7 linked regions of the Rattus norvegicus genome follow. The protein of the gene in region 5 binds, or shares a complex with, the protein of the main gene of each other region. Links are inferred from orthologs where the notes say so. Each region holds a gene or a part of one and is shown on either strand. Other genes may lie near its edges. The genes, in order: Med16, Med7, Med19, Med21, Med23, Med18 and Med26.

What was found.
Region 1: Med23 (region 5) and Med16 share a complex: the UniProt entries of both Homo sapiens proteins name them as parts of the mediator complex. The link is inferred for Rattus norvegicus from reciprocal best matches to the Homo sapiens genes MED23 and MED16.
Region 2: Med23 (region 5) and Med7 share a complex: the UniProt entries of both Homo sapiens proteins name them as parts of the mediator complex. The link is inferred for Rattus norvegicus from reciprocal best matches to the Homo sapiens genes MED23 and MED7.
Region 3: Med23 (region 5) and Med19 share a complex: the UniProt entries of both Homo sapiens proteins name them as parts of the mediator complex. The link is inferred for Rattus norvegicus from reciprocal best matches to the Homo sapiens genes MED23 and MED19.
Region 4: Med23 (region 5) and Med21 share a complex: the UniProt entries of both Homo sapiens proteins name them as parts of the mediator complex. The link is inferred for Rattus norvegicus from reciprocal best matches to the Homo sapiens genes MED23 and MED21.
Region 6: Med23 (region 5) and Med18 share a complex: the UniProt entries of both Homo sapiens proteins name them as parts of the mediator complex. The link is inferred for Rattus norvegicus from reciprocal best matches to the Homo sapiens genes MED23 and MED18.
Region 7: Med23 (region 5) and Med26 share a complex: the UniProt entries of both Homo sapiens proteins name them as parts of the mediator complex. The link is inferred for Rattus norvegicus from reciprocal best matches to the Homo sapiens genes MED23 and MED26.

Annotation. Positions count from the first base shown.
Region 1 is NC_086025.1:10,452,273-10,455,772, forward strand, and holds part of Med16 (mediator of RNA polymerase II transcription subunit 16), read left to right. Parts: intron 1-1,023; coding exon 1,024-1,455; intron 1,456-1,890; coding exon 1,891-1,996; intron 1,997-2,027; exon of another isoform or gene 2,028-3,500. UniProt on the Homo sapiens protein: Component of the Mediator complex, a coactivator involved in the regulated transcription of nearly all RNA polymerase II-dependent genes.
Region 2 is NC_086028.1:31,353,695-31,357,836, forward strand, and holds the start of Med7 (mediator of RNA polymerase II transcription subunit 7), read left to right. Parts: upstream 1-1,342; 5' UTR 1,343-1,388; exon of another isoform or gene 1,389-1,936; intron 1,937-3,986; 5' UTR 3,987-4,142. UniProt on the Homo sapiens protein: Component of the Mediator complex, a coactivator involved in the regulated transcription of nearly all RNA polymerase II-dependent genes.
Region 3 is NC_086021.1:90,167,692-90,171,628, forward strand, and holds the start of Med19 (mediator of RNA polymerase II transcription subunit 19), read left to right. Parts: upstream 1-1,137; 5' UTR 1,138-1,181; coding exon 1,182-1,398; exon of another isoform or gene 1,399-1,587; intron 1,588-3,937. Other genes in the region: Tmx2 (thioredoxin-related transmembrane protein 2 precursor), read right to left, coding at 588-776. UniProt on the Homo sapiens protein: Component of the Mediator complex, a coactivator involved in the regulated transcription of nearly all RNA polymerase II-dependent genes.
Region 4 is NC_086022.1:181,296,505-181,298,735, forward strand, and holds the end of Med21 (mediator of RNA polymerase II transcription subunit 21), read left to right. Parts: intron 1-520; coding exon 521-621; intron 622-1,244; coding exon 1,245-1,421; 3' UTR 1,422-1,731; downstream 1,732-2,231. UniProt on the Homo sapiens protein: Component of the Mediator complex, a coactivator involved in the regulated transcription of nearly all RNA polymerase II-dependent genes.
Region 5 is NC_086019.1:22,325,755-22,329,254, reverse strand, and holds part of Med23 (mediator of RNA polymerase II transcription subunit 23), read left to right. Parts: coding exon 1-160; intron 161-1,602; coding exon 1,603-1,745; intron 1,746-3,108; coding exon 3,109-3,283; intron 3,284-3,500. UniProt on the Homo sapiens protein: Required for transcriptional activation subsequent to the assembly of the pre-initiation complex. Component of the Mediator complex, a coactivator involved in the regulated transcription of nearly all RNA polymerase II-dependent genes.
Region 6 is NC_086023.1:149,949,873-149,954,135, reverse strand, and holds the start of Med18 (mediator of RNA polymerase II transcription subunit 18), read left to right. Parts: upstream 1-1,463; 5' UTR 1,464-1,613; intron 1,614-2,333; 5' UTR 2,334-2,404; coding exon 2,405-2,477; intron 2,478-4,263. UniProt on the Homo sapiens protein: Component of the Mediator complex, a coactivator involved in the regulated transcription of nearly all RNA polymerase II-dependent genes.
Region 7 is NC_086034.1:17,332,434-17,336,569, forward strand, and holds the start of Med26 (mediator of RNA polymerase II transcription subunit 26), read left to right. Parts: upstream 1-1,336; 5' UTR 1,337-1,604; coding exon 1,605-1,676; intron 1,677-1,700; exon of another isoform or gene 1,701-4,136. UniProt on the Homo sapiens protein: Component of the Mediator complex, a coactivator involved in the regulated transcription of nearly all RNA polymerase II-dependent genes.

The sequences.
Region 1 (3,500 bases), on a different chromosome or scaffold from region 5:
TCATTGTGGGTTCTTTACCATGTTTGCTATAGCAAATCATCCTTTCCCCCGTGTCTGCTTTAGCGAGACATCCTTTCTCCTGTTTGCTCCATCCAAACATCATTTGCCATAACTAACTTTCCAAAGAACTAGAAGTTCCCACTTGAGGACCCTACACCTTTCTCTGACACCCACAGACACCTCAACCCAGGGTAAATGCAACTCATCTTTTGCTGTCGTCGTTCTGGTTTTTAAGACAGGGTTTCTCAGTGTAGCCCAGGCTGTCCTAGAACTTGCTCTGTAGACTGGGCTACATTCAAACTCAGAGATCTGCCTGCCTCTACCTCTTGAGTGATAGGATTAAAGGTGTGTGCCACCACCACCCAGCTATAAATCTTTAAAAAATTAATGTGAAAATTGTATTAGCTGGGCAGTGATGACCCACCCCAGTACTCTACCCAGGAGGCAGAGCAAGTGGATCTCTGAGTTTGAGACCAGCCCAGTCTACAGAGCAAGTTCTAGGGCAGCAAGGGCTACACAGAGAAAACAGTAACAAAAAAGTTTTATTGAGCCGGTTATGATAGTGATAGTGCATGCCTGTCATCCCAGAATTTGGAAGGCTGAGGCAAGACGATAACTTTGAGTCTAGCCTGGGCTATGTACACTGTCTCAAACAAACAAGGTATGTTTTGTATGTAAATTACATCAATTTGGAATTAGAGACTGTAAAGAGGAGTAGCTGGCACTGAGGCAGCACTCCACAGAAAATACACACTGCCCCCTGCACCACAGTCAGTGCCATAGCCATCTTGCTGCCTCTGCTGCAGAGACAAAGGCTGTGAGGTCACTACAGAGAAACTTAAAGTACTCCTATAGTCCCCTGAGAAAAACGCTAATGCTTGCATACTATAGAAGAGGAGACTGAGGTCAGGGTACCCCCCATTCATGCAGTGCTCTTGCTACATTGTTGCTCTTTGGGGGTTGGTCACAGAAGGCAGCCCCCAAGAAGCTGAGCAAGCCCTTCCTCCTATTTCCCCTTCTCAGTCTGGTGCCTCCAGCTTCGGAGAAAAGTTCTCCCGGGTGAAATTCTCCCCGTCTCTCACGCTGTTTGGTGGCAAGCCAATGGAGGGTTGGATTGCGGTGACAGTCAGCGGCCTGGTCACTGTGTCCCTCCTGAAGCCCAGTGGGCAGGTGCTGACGTCCACGGAGAGCCTGTGCCGGCTGCGTGGCCGAGTGGCACTGGCCGACATCGCCTTCACAGGCGGTGGGAACATCGTTGTGGCCGCTGCGGACGGCAGCAGTGCATCGCCCGTGAAGTTCTACAAGGTGTGCGTGAGCGTGGTGAGCGAGAAGTGCCGCATCGACACGGAGATCCTGCCCTCGCTGTTTATGCGCTGCACCACCGACCCCAACCGCAAGGACCGGTTCCCCGCCATCACACACCTCAAGTTCCTGGCGAGAGACATGTCTGAGCAGGTGAGCTGTGGTGTCGTCTTCAGCTCAGCCAGCCATGTCCTGTGGTGGGGTCAGAATCTGACGGACCTGGTGGGAGCAGGGAAGGTTCCTGCTGGTCGCCCAGGGAGCGTCAGCGTCCTTTGGCTAGGGGTGCCTTCCTCCGTCTGCCTCTTGCCCTCCTGCCTCACCTTCCATGGTGAAACCAGGTCTGAAGGATGCAGGTAAATCCCCTTTCCTAAGTTCCAGCTACCACAGAAGGTGGCCTATCTGGGGACATGTCTTGTTGTGACCTGTCCACTGGTCAAAGGGTTGTCCGGCTTTGTAAAATCACACAGCCGCAAACCTCTTGAAAGCCATGGCACATTTGTGCTGACAGTCCTGTGTGGAGCCATCACCAGAGGATACACGGGAGGTGGGTGCTCCAGGAGACACCCCCTCACTGAGCCCCACCCTCAGGTGCTCCTGTGTGCATCCAGCCAGACCAGCAGCCTAGTGGAGTGCTGGTCCCTTCGGAAAGAGGGCCTTCCTGTGAACAACATCTTCCAGCAGATCTCGCCTGTGGGTGAGTCGTTCAGGGTTCCCTCCTGAGGGAAGCTCAGGGCTTTACTCATGGCTATTGGGGTTCAGACAGGGTCTCATTCTGTGTCCCTGGCTGGCCTTGAATGCACAGAACTCCACCTGCCTCTGCGATGAGAATTCTGGGATTTGGGATTCTTTAAAAACACAAACACGGAACTGTTATCTTGTTGTAAGCCCAGGAGTGAGATGTGGGGCTGCTTCAGATGTCCACAGCAGCTGACTATGATTTATGCTGACTATGATATGCTCTAGCAGAGGCGTGGTTTTGTTAGCTGCAGGTAATTTCTAAGATTGGGTGACATTTGGAATTCTGGGAACTTTTCAGAGGGTGCATACATGCCAGGGCTCTGAGAGCTGGGGTTGGTTGTGGTTTGTTAGCAGTTGTGCTCAAAGAAGAAACAAGAAAGGAAAGAAATTCCGTTCAAGGCTCTCTTTCTCTCTCACCTCTCTCGTTTCTCTCCTATCTAGTGATAGGACTGAAATGGGAGTGGGGGTGGCAAAAAGAAGAACCCACAAAGTAGCAAAGGCTGGCTACATGCCTCTGCCTCCTGAGCCCTAGTATTAAAGGTGTGGCCTGTTAATTTACCTTCCACAGTCCCGGGGGCTGTTGGCTTCTTGCCTAGAGTAGGAAACTAAGGCTCCAGAGCCCTGGTAAGGACAGCCTGGGAATGAACACACACTACACACACACACACACACACACACACACACACACACACACTACACACACACACTCATACACACACACTACACACACACACACTCATACACTACACACACACTACACTCACACACTCACACACTACACACACACACACTCATACACTACACACACACCATACACACACCACACACACACACTCATACACTACACACACACCATACACACACACACTCACACACTACCTACACACACACACTCACACACTACACACACACCACACACTACACATACACACACACACACACACACACACACACACACACACAATGCATAGGCCCTGGGGCAGGGGGCCAGCAACCAAGGGCTGAGCCTTGGAGGGGCACCCACAACTAAGGGAGGCATTTTACTTTGAAAGCCATGGAATCATCTAGAAATCCAGGTCAGAGAGAAGGCTGGAGTTGAGTGGAGTGGAGCATCTTTACCAAGACCACGCAGGACAGCACTCCACAGGACACTTGCTTACAAATGGTGACTGCCCAGGGGATAGCTACTGAGGCTGCCCCGCAGTGCCCTGGCTCAGCCCTGCATAACCTTCCCCACAATACAGAAAGAAGTGAGGCTGGAGGGAGGGTGCGGACCCTGTTGCTGTGGAGATTGCTAGAGGACCTAAGTGGCCTCAAGAGGCCCGTGCTGCAGTTACAGTAAACTGCCCTTTGTGGCCAGCAAGTAATTAAATGTGAATAGCATCCCCGCTGTGTCTCCTGCAGATGGCTGTGAGTCACCAGACAATCTGGGCTCACTGGTGATAGTGGGCAGCCCCACA
Region 2 (4,142 bases), on a different chromosome or scaffold from region 5:
TCTTTCGTTGCTTGCTCTCATTCTCACTGGCAACTTCATCTGTCCCACTGCTGTGTCATTCCTTTGCCAGTATTAGATCCAAACTTTTTTGGGATTCCAACACAGACTGAAGAGCAGCAGCTCTCTAAAAATCCTCCAGGCCTCCAACGCCAGGTGGGGTCTGCTGAGACATCCAGCCCCTTAGACTGAGCAGCTACGGGATTCTCAGCCTTTCAGGTTGGAGGCAGCCATTGTTGGACTAGTTGAACTGCATCTTGTAAGCCACTCTAATAAGTTATATGACATATATATCCATGTGTGAACACACACTCATTTGATCAGTGTAACAACCCCTGGTACACTTTCAGTAAGATAGTAATGCTATGGGCATGGGAAAAAGCGAAGAGCCCTTACCTTTGAGAGGCTCATACTGGACTAGAGGCGAACTGATGGGGAGCATATAGCTGTGGAAGTTGGTGATGAGTAGACTGTTCTTTCGCTTTTATGCCTGCAATTCTTCACATATTTAAAGGAAGAAACTGGGACATTCTTGTCTCTGAAGCAGAGCTGTTTTAGCAGAACAGTCTTATCTCACTTTTAATTTGCAACAAGCGTTCTTAAGACTCCCATGAGTTAGGACATCTGTTAACAATTCTTTTATATGTGTGGTGGGGGAAGGCCTAAATGGAAAGTTTTCTTGCTGGTCCTGATGGCTCATTTCTGAACCTCTGGCTTTCCTGAGGCTCGGAAGAGACATTTGAAACCATGTGTAGCCTGGGCTACACAGTGAAATTGCCCACTCCTTCTAATTTTAAAAATTACATTAATTTTTTTTTTTACTTGTCGGTTTGTGGAAGAATTGTCATATACATCTTTGAATTCCTAAATGAAAATAAAAGTGAACGGAAGGGGGAAAATGAAGGTGTAGGATGTTAGTCTTAATCATGTTCCCAAATATCCCCATGTATGTATGAATATATCATGGAGTACAACTTGCTTTAAAAAAATTTTTTTTGATGATAAGGTTAGCATTGATATTTTTAAATATTGCTTATCTGTATTTTCTGACTTATATAAGGCAAATATTTAATTTTAAGAGTCTTATATAAAGGGGGTGGGCGGCGAGGAGTCGAATTACTAGAGAGTACTTTCTTTTACTAACAAGAAGTATGAAGAAACACTCTCCTGACCTGACCAAGAAGATAGACAAGAGATCTTTTCCCGGGAGAAGCGGGAGACGCGGGAGTGCGCATGCGCAGTATCTTTAGGGCGGGAGTAGGACCTGCTATAGGACAGGCTTCGTAGCCAATTAAAGGCCCGCGTCAGAGGCTTCTTCCTGAGAAGGCAACCGGAACTTGTGCTTCCGCTGCGCTGAGGAAAAAGTCGCTACGGGAAAAGCTAGAGCTGAGGTGAGCCGGCGCGGCGTTTGGCGACCGCAGCCAGAGTCTGTCTCTCCGCCCCCGCGGTTGCGTCTTTCCCGGCGCCACGCCGAGGTCCGGCGCGGGACAACCTGGGAAGCCCGGGCTCGCCTTCCTCCCACGTCCCTCAGCGGAGCCTCCCCGGGGCCTGAGGCAGGCGGCTGGCCGAAGGTGCGCGGAGTGCGGCTCGCTCCGGGCGTCTCGCGGACCGGACGACGAGCCGGACCGGAGGTTGGGAGGTCCGAGTTCTCGTCCCCACGCCACGGGCTTTTAAAGTGTCGTGGCCTTAGCCTGCCCTGTCGGCATTAGTAAAATGATAGTAGCCACCTGGGAGCGCGGAGGCTGGGGGAGGGGAGGGAGAGCCTCGGGCGGATCTTATCCTGTACCAGACTTTACGAGGGACAGGGACCAAGTGAGCCAAGTGTCTGAGCTTGCGACCACTCCCCCCCCCCGCCCCCCAAGCAAATGCTAGAAACTGAATTTTGTTAGTGTTAGCAAGTGAGGACATCCAGCGGCTCTGAAAAGTTCAGTTTAAACCGGTGAGGGCGGTTTTTGTAAGGTGGCAGGCTCTAAAACGGGATGCTTGAGTTATCGGGGTTTGCACTTCCGCGCAACAAAACGAAACAGCCAAACAAAACAAAACAAAAACGGAGTACAAATTCCCGTTATACATTTTACCCACTTCTGCACATTGGAAACTGGCTTCTTGTTTCTAAAATCAAATTGGGAATAGTTGTGCCGTTAGGAAGATAGAAGTGAGGATGCCGGTCACTTATTAGAAACCTTTGGGAAATGGGAATTTAGTATGGGTGTGGCTAAGGGAAGCGCAGATCTCATCTTCAAAAGCCCTCAGGGGACGAAATTTAGGCTGGGTGTTGACTTGATGTGACTGCAAATAGACACTAGTATCTTAGGTATATATACCCTGAAATAGTTGAGTTGGACGACCTGAAGAATTTGAAGTGACTTCCCTCAGATTTAATGTATTCCAGGTGTACGGAACCTGTATGTTACTTTCCCCTGTTACCTTGAATCTCAGTGTGAAAAAGCGCTCAAGAATCTTCTCATTGTATAATGTACTTAAACTCAAATTGGAAAAGCAGAGGGTATTTTGACCATATATGTTGCAGTGTTGGGACTTAGGTGTTAAATTTATGTAGAAAAGATGTTAAAATGCCAATTGTCAATAAAACTGTACTATAAGATGTTTGTAAGATGAGGCTTCCCTCAGAAACCTTGGAAAATTCTAGAAGTATGAAATTTAACAAGTGATTTTTGTCAAGACGTATAGAGAATCTTAAGTGTTTGGTTTTGGAAATCACTGTACAGTAGAAAGCAAAGTGAGATTGATAGACACCATATGTAGTTTGATTATGGAAAAGAGAAATAAATAAGGCATATGACTTTGTATATAACTGTTCTTTCCCAGAGTAGGTTTCAACGTATGCCTACCAAAAGGAGTCAGGCATGAAAAAGAAGTATATCATATACCATGTATAAGCCCCCCAATACAGACCCTTTTCTCTTAGTTTTCAGAATATATGTTTGTTCTTTGAGAATTTTATACACACACACAAACATGTGTGTTTTGATCATGCTTGCTTCCTCACTCGTCTAATATCTTGCAGACCACTACCATATCTTACTCCCAATTTTATATATTTTTAAAATATTTTCTTGGTTTTTAAAGATGGATCTTTAGCACAGGCTGGCCCATGTAGTTCAAATGGGCCTTGAACTCACAGCTATCATGCTTCTCAATCATTAGGACTCAACAACCATCATGCTTAGGGCAGTTTAAAAAATTGTTTAAAAATAACAGTAAATAAAGTCCTCTGCAAACCCGCAGTGGACTCTGCTGCTTGTTTTCCCACTTTGAATGCTTTATTTACATTTGTCAGGTTATCTACAATGTGTGAGTCCTTAATGCTAACATCATTTTTTAAACAAGCAGAACAGATCTTACTGAACGATCATATGAGTGCTCTTTAACAGGTGAGAAGGGCTCGAAGAGATTAAAAATAATCGTAGGATTTCCAAGTGAGGCTGTTCCGTGTTCTCAGAATTTCCTTCATAGACAAGGTTTGCACACCTCGACTTGGGTGTGTAGTTAGACACTAGACATGTCTCATGGTTCTCACTTCTGTTATCCTCACTGCAGTGAACATGGCGATTCAGCATTTTAAAGCCTGATTCAGTTAAGCAACAACCTGTAGTCTTGGGTGAATAGAGTTAAGAGCCAGGACACAGCAGGCCGTAGGACCAGAGCAGGTATTGTAAAGAAGACATGGTACCTGGGAGTCCGTGACTAAGTATGTGTAAGTGGTGATTCTACAGTAAAAAGGAGCCTGCCATTGTCCACTGTCAGTTGCAGAAATTGTACAATGGGAATTTATACTTGAATGTTGGAACCATAACTCATGCTATCACAAAGTAGACAGAGGGCAGACCTTTTTGGAAGGCCATCTTTGTGTGCAACTTTCTGCACCTTCCCTGCTCTATCCCATTAGTCTAACAAGGGACTAATCAGATCTTCATAAAGCCATAGCTTTGCCTTATTTTTCTCTTCACTTCTTCCTCCTTTGCCAGGATTACCTGTCTCCCTAGGGTGAAATTAGCACACCTGTTGTCTTTGCTGGCCAACAAGTTCTCAATTTTTATACTTCCCATCAGGAAGCTTGAAGATAATATGGTCTGAACCCACAACGAACTTGTACTGAACATTGTACTTGTGTTGATCAGGCT
Region 3 (3,937 bases), on a different chromosome or scaffold from region 5:
AGCTCTATGTCCACAACCTTCACGGTAAATGTTAACTGTTCTTAAATATTGCTTCTTAGATGGTTGATGGGCTTCCCCCCACCTCGTATTTTTGTAACCTTCCCTGTTTTCCTATCCCACCTCAGGAAGATAGTGCGCACAGTTGTTATGCCCAGAGCAGACGATTTTTCCACCAAAGTCATTTATTTTGTTGAGTCAGTGACCTATGTCTGCCGGTCTATCAGAGAATTGATTAAGGTTAGACAGCACTTAGTGAACGCTGTGTTACCTTGAAAAATCGCCTAACTACACTGTGATCACTTCGTTAAAAATTAGAAAAATTTAAATGGTATTTCTACCACGGGCCTAGTCTTCGTCAGTGGCGCCCCAAGGAACTTGGAATCACAGAAGAATATTGTTCATCTGTGATGGAAACCCTGGAATCTGTTTCTCCATCTTTAACACGAAGGTAAGGACTAGATAACGGCCTAGGCTCTCCACTCAAGTGTGTAAGCTACACTCGAAACCCGCCCTCCCATCTTCACATGCACCTGCAGGGCAGGGATGGATGGTCAAGGTCGACAGCTACTAAGGCAGGGGGCGCTCACCCAGTCAAAGTCACACGGGTTGCCATCTTCGCGCTGCGTGGGGAGACCGTTGCAAATCGGCGGCAGCTTCCTCACGAGGAGGAAAGCAATGGAAAGCAGGGCAGACAGAAGGCAATAAGGTCTGGCCAGCCATCGAGAAAGCCGCGGCACCGAGTACACCAAGGCAATCAGAGGCGCGAGGACAGCCATCTTCCCTGCCTACACTCTTGCAGGCTCACTCCCGCTCCCCAAATCGTCGTCCTCCGCCCCCAACAGCAAGGCTTCTATTGGGCCAAATATCAGATGCAACGCCTCCAGACCCGGATGTAGATCTCTTATTGGGTGCTATAATAGATCGGAAAATGAATTAGATAGTCTATTGGTCCTCATAATTGTCGCTTTTCTACCTGAGTCATTTTATTGGCTATTAGTCTGTGAAACACTACCTGAACAATCTCTCAGGGCAAAGGAAGTAAGTTGCCGGAAGATGGTGGGCGGAGCTTAGCGTATCCAATGATGGGAAGCTGTTAAACCAAGAGGGTGGTACCCTGTGAAAGTGCTGTCCAATGAAAGTAATTAACGCCAGATCCCGGGTAACCAAGAGCGGCGAGTGCTATGGAGAACTTCACAGCCCTGTTCGGAGCTCAAACTGACCCCCCACCGCCACCAAGCGCACTAGGGTTCGGGCCTGGAAAGCCTCCGCCGCCACCCCCTCCTCCTCCGGGAGGTGGTCCAGGCACGGCTCCACCTTCGACCGCGACCTCGGCCCCCGTGGGAGCGGATAAGTCCACGGCTGGAAGCGGTCCCTTCTACCTTATGCGGGAATTGCCAGGTGAGTAGTGGGCCAAAAGTAGCCAATCAGATAATAGTTTAGGTGACCGTTGTGGCTAGCATCCTGCAGCGCAAGGTGTAAGATAACAGGGCTACGGGTGGCCAGTGGGCAACAGTGTCAGAAGCCCTTTGGCGATTCACAACTCTAAAAGATAACTTGATTTCCCGGGGTGGGTTTGGGTTGGGTGTGAATATCTGGGACTACCTCTAGCGAGAAGTTCTGTGATCCGGGTTCTCTAACCGCTGTTTGTGACTCTATGAAAACGAGCCATTGTTTGGAACTCGGGAGACCTGATTTAACGTTTCTGGAGACAGTAAGATTTTAGTTTAAAGTCTGTCACAAACTTGTTGGTTTATAGCAAGTTGCCTTCCTCGTCAGGGACTTGGAGATTAACCCGCTCAAAGAAAGGACTAGAATTGAATCAATTCTTACATTCATAAAGTTAGTTATTCGGGAAAATTGGGGGGGGGCGTGGCTCAGTGGTAGAACTCTTGACTGCCATGCATAAGGCGCGTGTTCACAGAATCATCTCTGAGTAGGTAACATTCAAGAATAAACAAAGCCATCGGTCCTTGGACAGAGAGAAGATACTAGATAGAAGAAACTACATCAGGAGACCTGTTTTGGAGGGGAAGATGGGGGGGGGGGTGCTTAGAATATCTGAGGGGCAGAAGACACATTGAATTCAAGGAAAGGAACAATTCCAGTACTGATGGAAAATAGGTAGAGGCCTTTATAAGGCAATGTAGGTTTAAAGTTCAAGTTGAAGTCAATTTCAACATGGGGGGGGGGGGGAATGAGCTAATTTAGTGATTTTTTTTTTTAAAAAGATATTCAGCAGAAACATAAGTGAAAATGGGGTAATCAGAAATCAGTGTTCCTAAAAGAGAATGGTTTGGACCAGGACTTAGCAGTAGAGAAGCAAATGAATACAGGATACATGATAAAGGTGAAGCCTACAGAAATAAAGAACTAAATATAAACAGAGGAATTGTGGGTGTTCTGTACAAAGGTTATAGTAGTCTGAGAGTAGGAAGTTATGGAAAGAAAAAATTTGAAGAGCTAAAAATCAAGAGGTGTTCTGGATATGTTAAATCTTAGGGAACTTGTGGTACTATATACCAGCACTCAGGAGGTGAAGGCAGAAGGTTCTGGAGTTCCAGCCCAGCCTAGAGGACATGAGATCCTGCTTCAAAAAAAGAAAAATAGAAGTTCAGTTATCCCAATTAGCTATTAGCACAGTAGTTTAAAGTTCACATCAGTGAGGTGTGTACAATATGTAGCCCTTTTAGATAGATAGGTATTATATTTTATAGTTGAGGACTGAAGCATAAAGAAATAACTATATGTGCTTTAATGACAGGTGTCTTCCAGAAGTTCTCTTTTTCCTTATTTTAGTTGTTTTGCCTCACTATGTAGCCCTGGCTTGTCTCAAATTCACTGTAGACTTGGCTGGCCTTGAACTCACAGAGATCCACTTAATCTCAGCCTTCAGGTATGTGCCACCATGCCCAGCTTCTTCCAGCAGTTTATCTTTTGCATTTCCTGTTCTGATTATGCCATTTATATATAAATCAGTTGATAAATACTGAATCTCCGAGGCAAACGCTGGGTATGGTGGGATTCTGAGAAGGGGAGATTATTAAGCCGGGTTTTTACGTAGCTTACTTTTTGAGATCCATAATACATGGTTTAAGGATGGTGCTTGTATCTTTGTGGGTGTCTGTTTACTACTTTATAGTCATGCTTCACACAGGAAGCAGTGTTTAAAACTACCTGATGGTTTTCAAAATGTGTTAGCCAAAATGACAGCAATAATAAGATGTCATTTGAACTGAACTCTGAAGAATTTATATAGGCAAACAAAATTAGAAAGTTATTTTCTCAAAGGAAATAGTGGTACAGTTTTGTTGCTGTTTTCTACCCAGAGGATACGTAGATCTATCTGGATACATTAGAAATTTTGCAGGAAGATTAGTAGTTGATCAGGCTCCAAAGTTAAGTTGTAATAAAATTTGATTAGGAAGGCTAGGGATGTAGTTTAGTTGGAAGAGTACATGCTTAGCATGCATAAAGACCTCTATATTCATTCTCCATACTTGACAAACCGGGCTTGATGGTATATTTCTATAATCCCAGCCCTTGGGAGATGTACACAGGAAGATCAGGAGCCCAAGGTCATTGCTGGCTACATGAGACCTTGCCTTGAAAAGGTCCATTGGAACTGTAAAGATGACTCTAAGGTCATGCAGTTAAGGACATTTGATGTTGTCCAAAGGACCAAGCTTGGTTCCCATAATCCATATGGGAGCCTCACAATTGTATGTAACTCCAGCTCCAGGGATCCCAACACCCTCTACTGACCTCCATAGGCACTCAAATAATATGTGGCATACATCCACACAACACAACACACACACACGCGCACGCGCACACACACACACGCACACACACCAAATAGGATAAAAATAAATCTTTCAGGATAAATCAAGAGGCAGGTTGATCTCTCAGTTCAAGGCTAACTTGGTCTACCTAGTGA
Region 4 (2,231 bases), on a different chromosome or scaffold from region 5:
GTGCCCACCATAGCATGCACACAAGAGATCAGAGGATCTGGAGTAATTCTCTCCTTCCATTATTTGGGTTCTGGGTATCAAACTTCGGTCATTAGACTTGGTGGCACGTGCCCTTATCTGCAAAGCTCTCATTGGCCCAGGAATGACCTTATCAGTGTAATTCATAAGCCGCATAATTTTACTCATGTCCAATAAAGATTGCTACCTCCTTAGAGGAAAGTGTGTGTGAGTTAAGCTGAAGTTTGCTTGTGTGACCTTAATAAGAGAAACATCTCATCTATGGATTCCTTTCCTTAAAGTACCAATGTGTTGTCCTAATAAATAAAATGACGTGTTATGCTAATTCCCAATTTGAAGTAATATTAAATGTATGAATAATATTGACATGCTAAAATTATACTTTCTCAATTGGAATTATCATATAGAAAGCTTAGCTGAGCTTTTCTAGCTTTATTAATCGTATAATTTCTCCTTACGAAAGTGTAAGATTCTGATCGTTTAGCTTGATGTTCTTCTTCAGAGTATGCCCAGCTTTTTGCAGCACTGATTGCACGAACAGCAAAAGATATTGATGTTTTGATTGATTCCTTACCCAGTGAAGAGTCTACAGCTGCTTTACAGGTAAAACTCTTCTGATAAATTACTAGTAGTAGAGAACTTTGAATTAGGAGGTTATGATATTCAGTTTAATATTACATTTTAAATGGGAGATATTTGAGTTTTTATTTGGTTTTGTGAGTTTTTTCTTTTCATTCCTTTTTTTTTCTTTTGTGGTCAAATCCAGAGTCTCACATACTAGGCAGACACTCTTGTCTCTGAGCTATAACCTCAGGCTTACTTGGGAGTATTGTTACTGTGAGCTAGCACAGCCTCTGGAAGACTGTGCTGTTGGGTTGTCCAATTTTGACTTAAAAGGTAAGGTCAGGTGTGCTTGCGGTGGTACCGATGTTGAGCAGTCTCATCTTCGGCAGACGCCCACCTGACTTTAACTAGCAAAGATGAGTGGAAATGGCATTCTGAACGTGGAACAAAACAGTGTCTTCAAGAAGTGCTAGCAGAGCAGCTATATATACACTCCTGAATGTTCTCATTGAAATTGGACTTAGGATAACTCAGACAGAAAAATTAGGTTGATAGAATGCCTGCCACAATGATTGGAAAGGCATTCTGATCTTAAATAAACACTTGTGTTTAGTGTCTGTCCAGTTAATCTCTGAATGCATTAACATTCATGTCCTCCAAAGGCTGCTAGCTTATATAAGCTAGAAGAAGAAAATCACGAAGCTGCTACGTGTCTAGAGGATGTTGTTTATCGGGGAGACATGCTTCTGGAGAAGATCCAAAGTGCACTTGCTGACATTGCACAGTCACAGCTGAAGACCAGAAGTGTTACCCATAGTCAGTCTCTCCCAGACTCATAGCATCAATGGCTGAGATGTGACGGAGAAGAGAACTGTTTGAATGGCATTAAGAATGCCGCATCAGATGGAAGCCCTACGGACAGCTGTAGAACATCATATGCTATGACGGTGTTGCCTTTTTAAGCTAGTTTTCATTGTTTGCTGTTTTCACTCTTGATAAGTAAAAGACTTTACAATTATAACGGAATCATCTTCAAACATCATTATGCCATCGTTTTTTATCTGACTAGAATTTTCAGGACAGATACTGTACTAAGGTTCATGATATAATTAAACAGATATACAATAAAGCTCTTTGCTGTTTTGTGTATGTGGTTTGTTTGTCCTTTTTTGTGCAGTGCGGAGATGGAACCCAGATCTTGTGCATCTTGTGTATGCTAGGTAAGCGCTTTGCCACTGGGCCATATTTCCCCAGTTCTGACTTTTGTAGTACCATTGTAGCCATCCCACAGGTCAGAGGACCTCAAAGGCAGGGATGGGTTACATTTCAAGTTAGATAGGCGTCCTGCCCACCTCTCCAGAGGTGGCGCCGTGCTCATTTGTACTCCGAGCAGAAGTTTCTGAAAGTGTTTTAGAGAAAACAATTCGAGCAGACAGGAAAGTCATCTGTTCATTGGTGGGAAGCTTTCTCTTCCAAAATGTCACACATTCCAGTTTGTCTCTACCCTTGTCTTGACAAAGACATTTTTACTCTCCATGGAATTCCAGTGTTACTGTGAGAGATTTTTATCCTAAACCATGTTTAAATAATTTTAACCTACATCCACCATCTTCTTAATTTACATGTCTTCATAGTGAATTACATTTCTT
Region 5 (3,500 bases):
CAGAGTGTTTCACCTTACCTATGGGCGCTCTGGTAGAGACCATTTATGGCAATGGAATTATGAGAGTGCCTCTCCCCGGGACAAGCTGTCTGGCCTCAGCATCAGTAACTCCCTTACCAATGAACCTCCTGGATTCTCTGACAGTGCATGCCAAGATGAGGTGTGTTCCTTTCTTTATCTGGGAATTGATAAAGAAAAAAATGCGTACATATGTGTGTATGGTCTGGGCATTTAAGAGTGACTTCTTCACAGAAATGAATGCTGTTAACTGTAGAAGCTATAGAGTATGCAGAGGAGTGTGAGGCAGATGAGGACTTTATCCTTTTCACAAGAAAATGGAAAAACATCCTTGCATCTTTTTTTCAATGAGTAAATTTATGATTTTATATATTGTGCACAAAAATGTGTTGTATCTTGTTTTCCTCCCATAATAAACATCTTTTAACGTGATTTCCCCCCAAAACTGTTGTGGATTGCTACAACCAAGTTCCTCATGAAGCCTGAGCGGCCTCTCTGCATTGCTGGGAGTCGAGGGCTTGGTGGCTCCTTCCTATTTAAGAGATGTTGATGAAGGCTGCCTTACAGCACTCAGAGCGATGTCTGTAGTTGCGTTTGCCTTCAGTCTTTTTCTTACATTTTTTACTAAACAGTTTTTTGAAAGGAGAATTGCTGTGTCCCGAAATTTAAAGTGTTAAGGCTTTTGCCTTATTGAATTGTGCACAAGAACACTTTTAGAGTTATGTTTGTTTCCTGGAAGGCAGAAAAACCTCCGTTGGTACTGGACCTCAGGTGCCCAGGGTAGCCAGGCTGGAGCTGTGGTGTGGCCTGGTACAGCATGCTGAGAAGCAGGAGTGAGTGCACTGGAGGCTGGCGTGTGGAGGCACACAGCACAGCGGTAGGGTCTTATCTTGAGCTCACAGTTCGGTTGGTGAGTGGAGTAGGATGCTGTCTATCCTAGCTGCTCACAGTGATTCCTTGAGAAGGACTAGGCAATCCAAAAATGTCTGCTCTCAAGTGTTAAGTTCTGACGCAAACCTAAGACAGCACTGTATACAGGCCAAAGAAAACTGGCCTGTAGCTCCCCAGACACAGTGTCAGCTCTACAAAAGCCATGCTTTTTTACTCTCAGACAGTACACAGAGTGTCACTTCACTGGCAGATGTGACACATTTGAGCACAGCCCTGCTAGAAGCAAGCACGTGGGTCTTAGTAATAATTTATTAAATGATTTTGTGATGTATATGATAATGTATGGTGAATGTGATACATGTCGCTCTTCAAGGGTACTTAGTTACCTGTTTGAGCGACGCTAGCTAAAAGCACTCAGTCGTGCTCTCAGGGTTTGTGTGCAGGGCTTGCTTTGTCCTGAGCAGAAGGATCCCTGTGCACAGCCCAGCTACTGCCCCAGCCCTGAAGTCCTGTAGAAAGCACAGCGTTTTCCAGTTGTTCAGACGTCACTGCCAAGTGTCTGATACAGCTTAAGCCGGTCAAGTGAGCCAAGTCTGTCGGAGCCTTTGCGTTTCAGATCTGTAGGTATTTGCCACTGAGAAGAACAACTTCCTTATAGGCATGGGCTCTCTCATCTTCTTCTTTCCTCCTCAGCCTTATTCACAGCATTGCAACCAGAGTGATAAAACTGGCTCATACAAAATCCAGTGTCGCATTGGCTCCAGCCCTGGTGGAAACTTACAGTCGTTTACTGGTCTACATGGAAATAGAATCTTTGGGCATCAAAGGATTTATCAGTAAGACAAACGTCACTGCTGTTTCTCATGATTAACAAGTCAGTAATTCAGGGAACGGTCGTCCTCGTGCTGAGGACGCTGCAGGGAGGCCAGCCTGTCCAGACAGGGAAAAGCAGAGGATGGCAGATGCGCTGGGACAGACATGGGTGCGCGACAGGCCTCCCTCAGTGTCTGAGGAGTGAGGGAGCTGGGTGTAAGGAGCAGGCAAGGTAAGGGAACAAGGCTGCTGCTCAGAAGCCCCAGCAGGACGGGTACTCTCCCTGCACGGGTCTGGCCACAGGGAAGGAGCTGTCATCCAGTGCAGAGGATAACATCTGTTAGTTCAGGGATTCTGAGTGATAGGTACTTCCCGACTGGGAACACTTTTCTAACTCATTTCACCAGAAGTGAATCCAACTTTCTTTGGATAGAAGAAAGAATGAACAAGGAAAAACATTAGGTTTTTTGTTCTGGTCTAGGTTTTGACTTTTTCGAGATAGTGTCTCCTGTTGTCCAGTCTAGGCTGGCCTCTGACTCCTTATGTAAGAGAGTCTGGTTCTGAACTCTTGTCTCTTGCCTCTTGCCTCTGCCTCCTGAGTGCTAGAATTGTGTGCCCTGCTGTGGCTTGGCTGACTTGGCTGGCTGGCTGGCTTGCTCCCTCTCCCTCTCCTCCTTTTCCCCCTCCCCCTCCACTCTCCCTCTCTTCATCTCCCTCCCTCTCTCTGTCCCTCCATCCCTCCCTCCCTTTCTTTTTTTGGTGTTAAAAGGTGAGTCTGTTTTAGTTACACTAGTTGCAATGGTGTACACCTGTAGTCTCAGCTGAAGAGATTGAAGTAAGAGAATTACTTGAATGTGAAAGTTCACTGCCAGCCTGGGTAATGGAGCCCTTGGGTTCAATTGCCAGCACTAACTATCTACCCATCGACCTACTTATCTGTCTGTCTGTCTGTCTGTCTATCTATCTATCTATCTATCTATCTATCTATCTATCTACCTATCTATCTATCTAAAAATGAATTTCATACTCAGACGTCAGAAACCTTTGACTTTCTATAAAAATATCCAAAGGTAACTGGAGACGTGAAGCAGACCAGAATGGCTTTCATGGTTTTGATTGGTTGCTTGGTTTGGTTTTATTTTTGTGTGGTTGCTTTCATTTTATTTTTCCACATTAACTGGAGCCTGGCATGTTAAACTCTGGAAGGGAAGGATAAACGCAGTGCGTATTTAGGCTCTGCATTTTTTACCCCTACAAGTGGAAATATGTATATACGTGTGTGTCTGTGTTTGTAGTCGTAGTTTCACATACGTCCTGAGTGACAGTCTTCAGATATATACAGGGAGGTCCTTTTACTAACTGGTACCGGAATTCTGCCTGTGGTAGGTCAGCTCCTGCCCACTGTCTTCAAGTCCCATGCCTGGGGCATCCTGCACACGCTGCTGGAGATGTTCAGCCACCGGATGCACCACATTCAGCCACATTACCGAGTTCAGCTCCTGAGCCATCTCCACACCCTGGCTGCAGTTGCACAAACCAACCAGAACCAGCTCCATCTGTGGTGAGTGAGTAGCCTGCAGGCTGCCTCCCCTGAGGTTTAGCCCGCCCATGCTTGGAAGTGGGGATCTTAATCTTCCCCACCCCCACTTTTTTCTTATTTGCCATAAAATTTAAATTCTGCTTCTAAGATACTATAATTACAGTGAAAGATTGGAATCCAAGTTTTTAAAAGAAATTGGATTTGCATATGTGTCAAGTCCTGGTTAAAGCATCATTTT
Region 6 (4,263 bases), on a different chromosome or scaffold from region 5:
GCCTGAGGTAGACGGCCTTTGCGGAAATGTTATGGGGTGAGGGGTTCTGGAGGATTAAGGGTGCCTCACTCTATGTCCGTTATGTGTTTGGCACATGTACAGAGTTCAAGAAGAACTTGTTGAATTTAGAGTCTCTATCTAGCCATCCATTTATCCATCCAGCTACGTATCTCTCTACCTACCTACCTATCTACCTACCAATCAATCAATCAACCTTCTATCTAATTATCTACCAATCAATCTATCAATCAACCTTCTATCTATGTATCGATCTATCTATCTACCTACTACCTATCTATCTAATGTATATGTGTGCCTAAATGTATGTACACCGTATATGTCCTGTATAGATGCCCATGGATGCCACATGAGGGTGTCGGTTCCCATGGAACTAGAGTTACAGGTAGTTGTGAGACACCTGATATGGGTGTTAGGGACTGAACCCAAGTCCTCTGAGGAACAGCAAGTGCTCTTAACTGCTGAGCCATCTCCCCGGCCCCCTAGTTATTTTATATTTTGTGTTACGAGTGTTTTGCAAGGGTGTATGTATGTGTACCACAGGGATGCAGTGAGTGATGTGGTCAGAAGAGGTAACAGATCTCCTGGAAGGGGAATTATAAATGATTGTTAGCCACCATGTAGGGATTGGGGACCTCTGCAAGAGCAGCAAGGGCTCTTAACTGCTCAGCCATCTCTCTAGCCCTAATTAATTAATTTTTGGAAAAAAACCCTCAAAATATTGTTTAAGTGTTGAATGGCTCTGCTGGAGAGATCCTTACCGCAGCCTCCTGAGGTTCTCAGATTCGGACTGTGCCTGGTCCCACGTATTTAAAGTTGTGGGTATGCATGGAAAATCGAACGAGTTTGCTGTTGTTCTGTATTAAACTTATGGCCTTGCACATACCAGGCAAGGCTCTAGCACTGAGCTGTTTCTCCAGACCCTTGAAAGCACACAAGAAAATATTGTTCCTGCTGGGGTCTATAAATACACAACGCTGTGCTTAGCGTTTCCGATTTGAAACATACTTCCCTTCTTTTTTTAAATTTAATTTAATTTTTAACTTACTTTACATCCCGCTCACTGCCAGCCCCCACCCCACCCCCCTGCCCTTCTGATCTTTTTCACTGCGACTCTTTCCCTCCTCGCTCCCCCCAGTGGCTGAGTTCAAAATTTAAATATTGTATCCAATCAGTTTCAAGAGATCTGATCAAAACATCCAGGTCGCCGAAGCTGAAAAAAAAACAAACAAAAAAATCAAAAACCGTTTCCTAGAGCTGTCCTATGACGTAAAGGCCTACAGTAACCTTCCAGTGTACCACTCTAGACTAGGACCCCAACACCGCAGCGGACCCGCACTCTGCGCGTGCGCTCTTGCACACCGGTGCCAGAAGGCGGGCGCCTTCCTTGCCCTCTCGGCACCCTTACTTTTCGGGGCGGTAGCGAAGAAGTTTCCTGTCCGTCAGCTTCCTACCGGAAGTGCTGAAGGGAATGTTTGGCGGTTTCTCTGGATCTGTGCAGGAGGGATTTGGGGGTGCGGATTGCGGGTGTGCACGCGTGGATTTAAGTCCAGCTTTGCATGGATCTGTAGCGCGAACGGAGACGTGTTGCTAGTGTAAGTGCACACGTGTCCCGGATCCCCGAGTGGGAGGACCGGTGCAGTCACTTTAACTTCATGTTTCCCGCCTGGCTCGTTTGTAAAGGCGTTTTCAAAAAGGCAGAACCAGTTCTAGTCTGATCCCGGCGTGTGCTCTCACTGAGTCTCCATGGCCTCTGCATAGAACGAAGGGTAGACAAGGTTCTTAGGTCTTTTGGTTTTTTTGAGACAGTCTCACTGTGATGCCCTAGTTAGCCGGGATTTGCTATATAGACCAGTCTAGCCCGAAGCCGCAGTTGTCTTCCTAACTCTGTCCCCGAGTGTTGAGATTACAGATGTTCCCCTAACACGACCGGCTTTTATTTCTTTATGTTTGGAAAGGAGGCCTCTCAGCGTAGACCAAAGTGACGTCACCTTTTTTGAATATGTATGTCGGTTCTTTCATTTGAGCCGCATGGGGGTGGGGGAGGGTCTGTGTGGTTATATGCCCCGGGGTTATTTTAAAGGAGCAAGAGGTTGCATAGCTGCCTCAAGGTGACATAGAAAAACTTTTAGAAGGTTCAGAACTTGAGACTAGATGGTCATTCTGGATCACCAGGGCCAGACCTCTCTTGTTTCTGCGTCACCCGTTCTTGGAACCGGCTGTATAAGCAGATATTCAAAGTTATGAATGAATGAGCTTTGGTTTCAAGGCCAGTGCCACAGAAAACAGTGGATGGACAAATGTGACTCTTCCAGGTGTATCCCGTGCTTCCCCGGTTGGAAGATCTGTTTGCAGTTCTGTCGTCTTGAACCTAATTAGAGGCATCATGGAGGCACCTCCAGTCACCATGATGCCAGTCACTGGGGGCACCATTAACATGATGGAGTACCTCCTGCAGGGTAAGTCAGCCACGGAGCATGCATTACCAAGTTTTCGTTCCTTTTCTTGTTAAAGCAAGTCAAGATGACTTACATAAAGGCAACTGCACGGTTCCTGTCACCCAGTAATTGCGTTTAGAAGAGGTTGGGTGGGAAGATGGCTCAGTGGCCAGAAACTCATTCTGTAGACCAGTCAGGCCTCAAGTGCCTGTGATCACAGGTGTGCTACACTTGTTTACTCTCTCTCATTCATTCCCTCCCTCCCCCTTCCTCTCCCCTCCCCTCCCCTCCCACCTCCCACCTCCCTTCTCTCCTCTTCTTTCTCTCTCTCTCTCTCTCTCTCTCTCTCTCTCTCTCACACACACACACACACACACACACACACACTCTCACTTTGTTTCTCTAAGCAGGGTTTTCTTCGTGTAACCCTCACTGTAGTAGAACTTGCTCTGTAGACCAGGCTGGCCTGGAACTCAGAACTACGAGGTCCACCTGCTCTGTCTCCCAGGTGCTGGCATCACAGGTGTGGGCCACCAGCACCTGGCTTTCATTTATTCTCTTTCATCTTGAAAAAGTAAAACTCAGGGCGAGGAGAGACCCTTACAGAAGTCCTTGGTTCAATTCCCAGCACCCTCACGGCAGCTCACAACTGTGTGTAACTCCAGCTGCAGAGGAGTTGATGTGATGCCCTATTCTGGTCTCCATGGATTCAGGCACACAGGTGGTTTACAGATAAACTGGAAGACAAAACACTTCCACACGTGAAATTTAAAAAAGAAATAATAAAATTAAAAAAAAAATTAAAACTCATACTGAGTCTCCCTCTCTCCCAGCTCTTTTATTTATTTTTTTCTTTTTTTTTTCTGCTCTTTTATTTTTTTTAAGATTTATTTATTTATTTTATGTATATAAGCACACTGTAGCTGTCTTCAGACACACCAGAAGAGGGCATCGGATCCCATTACAGATGGTTGTGAGCCACCATGTGGTTACTGGGATTTGAACTCAGGACCTCTGGAAGGGCAGTCAGTGCTTTTAACCACTGAGCCATCTCTCCAGCTCCTCTCCTAGCTCTTAACAGTTACCTTTCCACTGTATTTCCTTCCTTGGCAACTTAGATGCCCCACATGAGTGAGGTCCCTGGTTTTGTGACTGACTTATTTCTCATAGCATTATGTCCTTGATAACCTATGACACGATTTAGGTTGTTTTTGTTGTTTGGAAACAGGAGTATCACGTAGCCCAGGCCAACTTATTTTTTTTTTTTCAAATATAATTAAGATTTTTCTTTTAGGATTTTAAATCTTTTTTTTTTTAAGATTTATTTATTTTATGTATACACTGTCGCTGTCTTCAGACACATCGGATCCCATTACAGATGGTTGTGAGCCACCATGCGGTTGCTGGGATTTGAACTCAGGACCTCTGGAAGAGCAGTCAGCACCCTTAACCGCTGAGCCATCTCTCCAGCCCTAGGATTTTAAATTTGTATGAGTCTTTGTGAGTCAGAGGTCAGACAAGTGTGTCCAGTTCCCTGGAAAGGAATTGTGGGTGATTGTGAGCCACGGTTTGGGTGCTGGTGGAAACTGAGCCCAGGTCCAGTGCTCTTAGCTACTGAGCCACCTCCCCGACCCCTGGACTGACTGGCTCTAACATCCCTCTAACTGGCTGGATGGCCATGGACAGTTGGGACCTTCTGCCCTTCCGTCCTGAGTCTAACTGCATACATGTACTGTGCATGCTGACTGGACTGTCTCTGAGATCTAGCCTTGTTATTTCGCTTTTCATTCATTTCCGTATGGGCCTC
Region 7 (4,136 bases), on a different chromosome or scaffold from region 5:
TGGGTGGGAGAGAACTAGTCTGGAACTCACTGTGTAGACCAAGCTGGCCTGAACTCCAGAAACCCTCCAGCCTCCCGAGCGTTGGAAAAAAATGCCTGGTTCCCCACCTCCCTCCAGCACTCCCTAGAAGTATAACAAATTAAAATTAACAGGTGTCCCGCAGCTCTCAGGAGTACATGTGATTTTCATTACCTGTTTCCCTTCCGTTTCATGTCTGGATTTTTAAGGTTACGACACAAAACGAAAGTTATTTCTCCCGAAGCCACTGTAATACAGTGCGCTAAACTCGGAGCCCGCCCTCCCACTCCACCTGCCGGAGACCACAGCCCTTATACTTGATATCCTTCGTTTCTTGGTTTGACCTAAAACTCACGGTGACCTTGGCGCTTCCCTTCCTCCTCGGTGAGGCGTTCCTGTTTTCCAGTGGCTGGGGTGCAAAGCAGGGATCGTTCCGTCCGCTCCGAATGCGGAGGGGACGATGCTGAGCGATGGTTCCGCATCCTGTTGTGCAGACAAAGACTGGCCACCTCCAGTTCGCCTCTCAGGAGGGCTACAAGAGCGGTGCTTCAACGCAAGGCCCTGGGTTCGGTCCCCAGCTCCGAAAAAAAGAATTAAAAAAAAAAAAAAAAGAGCGGTGCTTCTTCTTGAGTTCCAGCCCCTCGTGGATGCACAGCCAAGGTGTCAGCGTCGCGCATGCCTTGCAGACTCGAGCCCTCGGCGGAGGCGGCAGCTCCCATACGTGCCCTTAGGTCCCAGCAGCGCGCGGGTCACATGGGGACACTCACTGCCCTGCAGATCCGCGCCTGGGGCCTCTGCAGCGGCGACGGCTGCGCCTAGATTCTCCGAGCTACTCGCCGCACGGGTCTCAACGCAGACAACCGCTGCCCTTCTTAGTGTCCCTATGGCCGCTCCAATCCTCTGATTCCTCAAAGCTAGAGGTCCTCATCCGGTGGAGGGTCTTACCATTCCGCAACCCCAAAGCAGTTAGCAGGAAGAGCCGGTGTTCCAGGACTTGGCATGTGAGCTTCCGTTAGGAAGCCCCGCCCCCTAGTCCGGAGTGGGCGTGACCTTCGGATAGCGTCCGTTGCCACGCCCAACCGTCTCCCAACGGCTCTCTGGATCCGGCCTTAGAACCCGGCGGCAGGACCTGATAAGTGCGCATGCGTGCGCGTGCGCAGAATCAATGGGCGGGGCTCACAAGCCGGCCCCTCCCAAACCCGGCGTCTCCACCCGCCCCCATCTCCCAACCTCCTCAGCGTGGCGCCGACGCTGCGTGCGGCGCGGGTTACCCAGAGTGCTCAGCGCGGGGGCAGCTCACTGGAGTTTGGTTCTCGAGGCGGCGGCGGCGGCGGTAGTGGCGGAGGCTTCTCCGTCGGCTCCTCCTCCTCCTTGCTCGGCGGTGGCGGCGGCGGTCCGGGGCCTGAGCTCCGGTCCCCTCCGCTTTCCTCCGTCCTCCGCCATCTCCCCGAGCGCCTCGACCTCCTCTGGCGCCGCGGGGAACATGCGGCTCCGTTCCCGGAGGCCGGCGAGTGACTGACCTGCGTCCCCCCTCCTCAGCCTGCCCGCCCGCCGGCCCGGCCGCTCCCCCCCGCTTCGCCCAGGCAATGACAGCGGCTCCGGCGTCTCCGCAGCAGATGAGGGACCGGCTGCTACAGGCCATCGACTCCCAGAGCAACGTAAGTGACTGCCGCGCGATCGGGGACCGAGGCCGCATGTGTCGGGACCCTCCCCCTCCGACGCGCCCCTGCCAGGGGTTCTCTCCGGGCGGTGATCTGCCCGCCACGGCCGCTGCCATCTCGGTGTCTCGTTCTCCTGGGTCCGGAGGCCGAAGGCAAGGCGGGTACCCCGGCAGCTGAGGGTACCTGAGGCCGAGGCTTCACGCGGCCTGGACTGAGGGATCGTTCGGAGCTTTGATGAGAGCTGGTTCTCCTCGGTTGTCCCAGCCCGGCTGCCCTTGGTGCTCCCCACCGTGCCCTTCTTGCCTCACCCCAACCCCGGGAACTGAGAACCCCCCGGAAAGGTCTCCCTGCCGGGGGACAAGGTAGAAAGCAACTGGTGTCTCCGCGATGACTCGGGTAGCCCGCGTCTCTGGAGTCTTGGCCTTTACTCCCCCTCGGTCTTCTAGCGAATCCCCTTCTTGGATTCGTAGGGAACCCTAGGCCTGTTCTGCCATCAGTCTGTCTTCCTGTGATGCCTGGAGAGTATCCTCTCTTCTGATAGTGGGTCGCTTCCTAGAAAAGACGACTCTGCAGAGAGTGGGACCCTTCCTGTCACCTCTCTTGGCCTAAATGCTCCATTGCGCGTCTGACCAGTAGCTAAAGCCTGGGATTTTAGTACTGAAATACTGCCGATCACAGTAGATTGTTCTCTTATCCCTATCTTCCGGTCCTCTTTCCATCTCTCTTGCTCCACCTGAGGTGCTTTGGACTCTAGGCTGTCAAGATTTAATTGTAAGGGATCACACTTTCCTCTGTCAAGAGTCCTGTGAGCAGTAGGACGCCTTTTTTCTTCCTGTGTGAGTGTAGACTAATTTTACTTGTTCTTGTATTTTTTCCAAAGGTTTGTTGGCAGTGCAGGGGGCGGGTGTCCTTGTTGCTGTCAGGAGTAGGGCCATGGGAAGATGCACAGGCATTCAGATATGAAGTGTTTGCTGGGAAACCAGGAAGTGGCTTTTGAGATCACTTTTTAATATGCCCAGGATGGAAGAAAAAAAATCATCTTGGACCAGGTAACAGAGGTTTGAACCTTTTTGGGTTCCCTTGCCTATGCTTGGCTAGTTACTTGTAGCAATGTGCTGTATTGTGTGTTCAGAATAATTCACATTGTTTGTGTGGTCTTGGTAGAAATAGAGATGTTCTAGTTTCTATGAGAATCTACTTGCCAGATTCAAAATTATTCTCTTCCTAGTCTTTAGGATCACGTCGATAGTAATTTAGTAAATATTGTAGACTTTTTTTTTTTTTTTGTGGTGGAATAGAGACAGGCTAGATAAAAATCTTCTAGAAAACCTTTCTTTTTTGGGGGGCGGGTTTAAGGGTTTTTTGTTTTGTTTTGTTTTTTGCCAGTGATTGGTAATAGCTGACTAATCACATGATTGATATATTAGGATATTAAAAGGTAAAAATAAGTGATAGGAAAACATAGCCTTGATGGCTTTTGCATCTTTGCTGAAGCTATAGTGTATAGTGTAATCTTTTTGATGTTGTTTTTCGAGAAGGGTTCCTCTTCTGTGTAGGTCTGGCTATCCTAGAACTTGCTCTTTGACCATGCTGCTGGCCTCAGAGATTCTCCTGCCTTTTCCTTCTGAGTGCTGGGATTAAATGCTTGCACTATCACTGCTCCTCTCTTCCACATTGTAAATCTTACACCTGTGTAACTCCTTGCTGAGATCTTCTCAGAGATCCTGACTGCTTGCATGTGAGAGTGTTGGGATCAGCAAGTGCTTTGACAGGTAGTCATGATGTTGTAGATCAGGTGGGGTCCAAGTGCTAGGTAAGGGTCTGACTAAAAGACCCTTTGGGGATAGAAGAAGGAAGATAGAGGGCCCAAATTTTAGTTTGTGTCTTTTTTCTGAGACTGTCTCTGGAAGTCACTATGTATGTAAACCAGGGTGTCCTCACAGAACCTGTCTGCTTTTACCTGCTTTAATCCCAAATGCTGGGATTAAAGGTATGTGCCACCATGCTTGGCCTCCAACTTTAGTTTCTTGAATCTTCCCTTGGTCCTAAGTGCTCATTGGCCTGTGAGTAAGTTGCTTGGAGTGTGTATCTCAAAGGGCTGTAGTGATAGGAGACCTTGTTGTGGCTGGAGTTGAGAACTTATCTCTGAGTGAGGAGGGGAGTGTTTCCCTAGATGCAATGTGTCAGTGACTATCCACAAAAACAACTAGGTATATGTTCTAGGGGCTAGCTTTGCAGAATCTCTTTGTAGAATCAGCCTGGAGCACTGTCCTCCATTTCTTGCTGAGGGGTGCCCGGCCATTTGCATTGTCTCTGTGATTGTTCAGGGCCCAGGTAAGAGCCGCATGTTGGTGCAGGGATCTCTGCTCTTGCTCTGATCTGCCCAGTTATGAGCTCCACCACTTGGTAATTGACACATATTTAGGATGTTCATGGAAAAAATACAAAACGGGGACA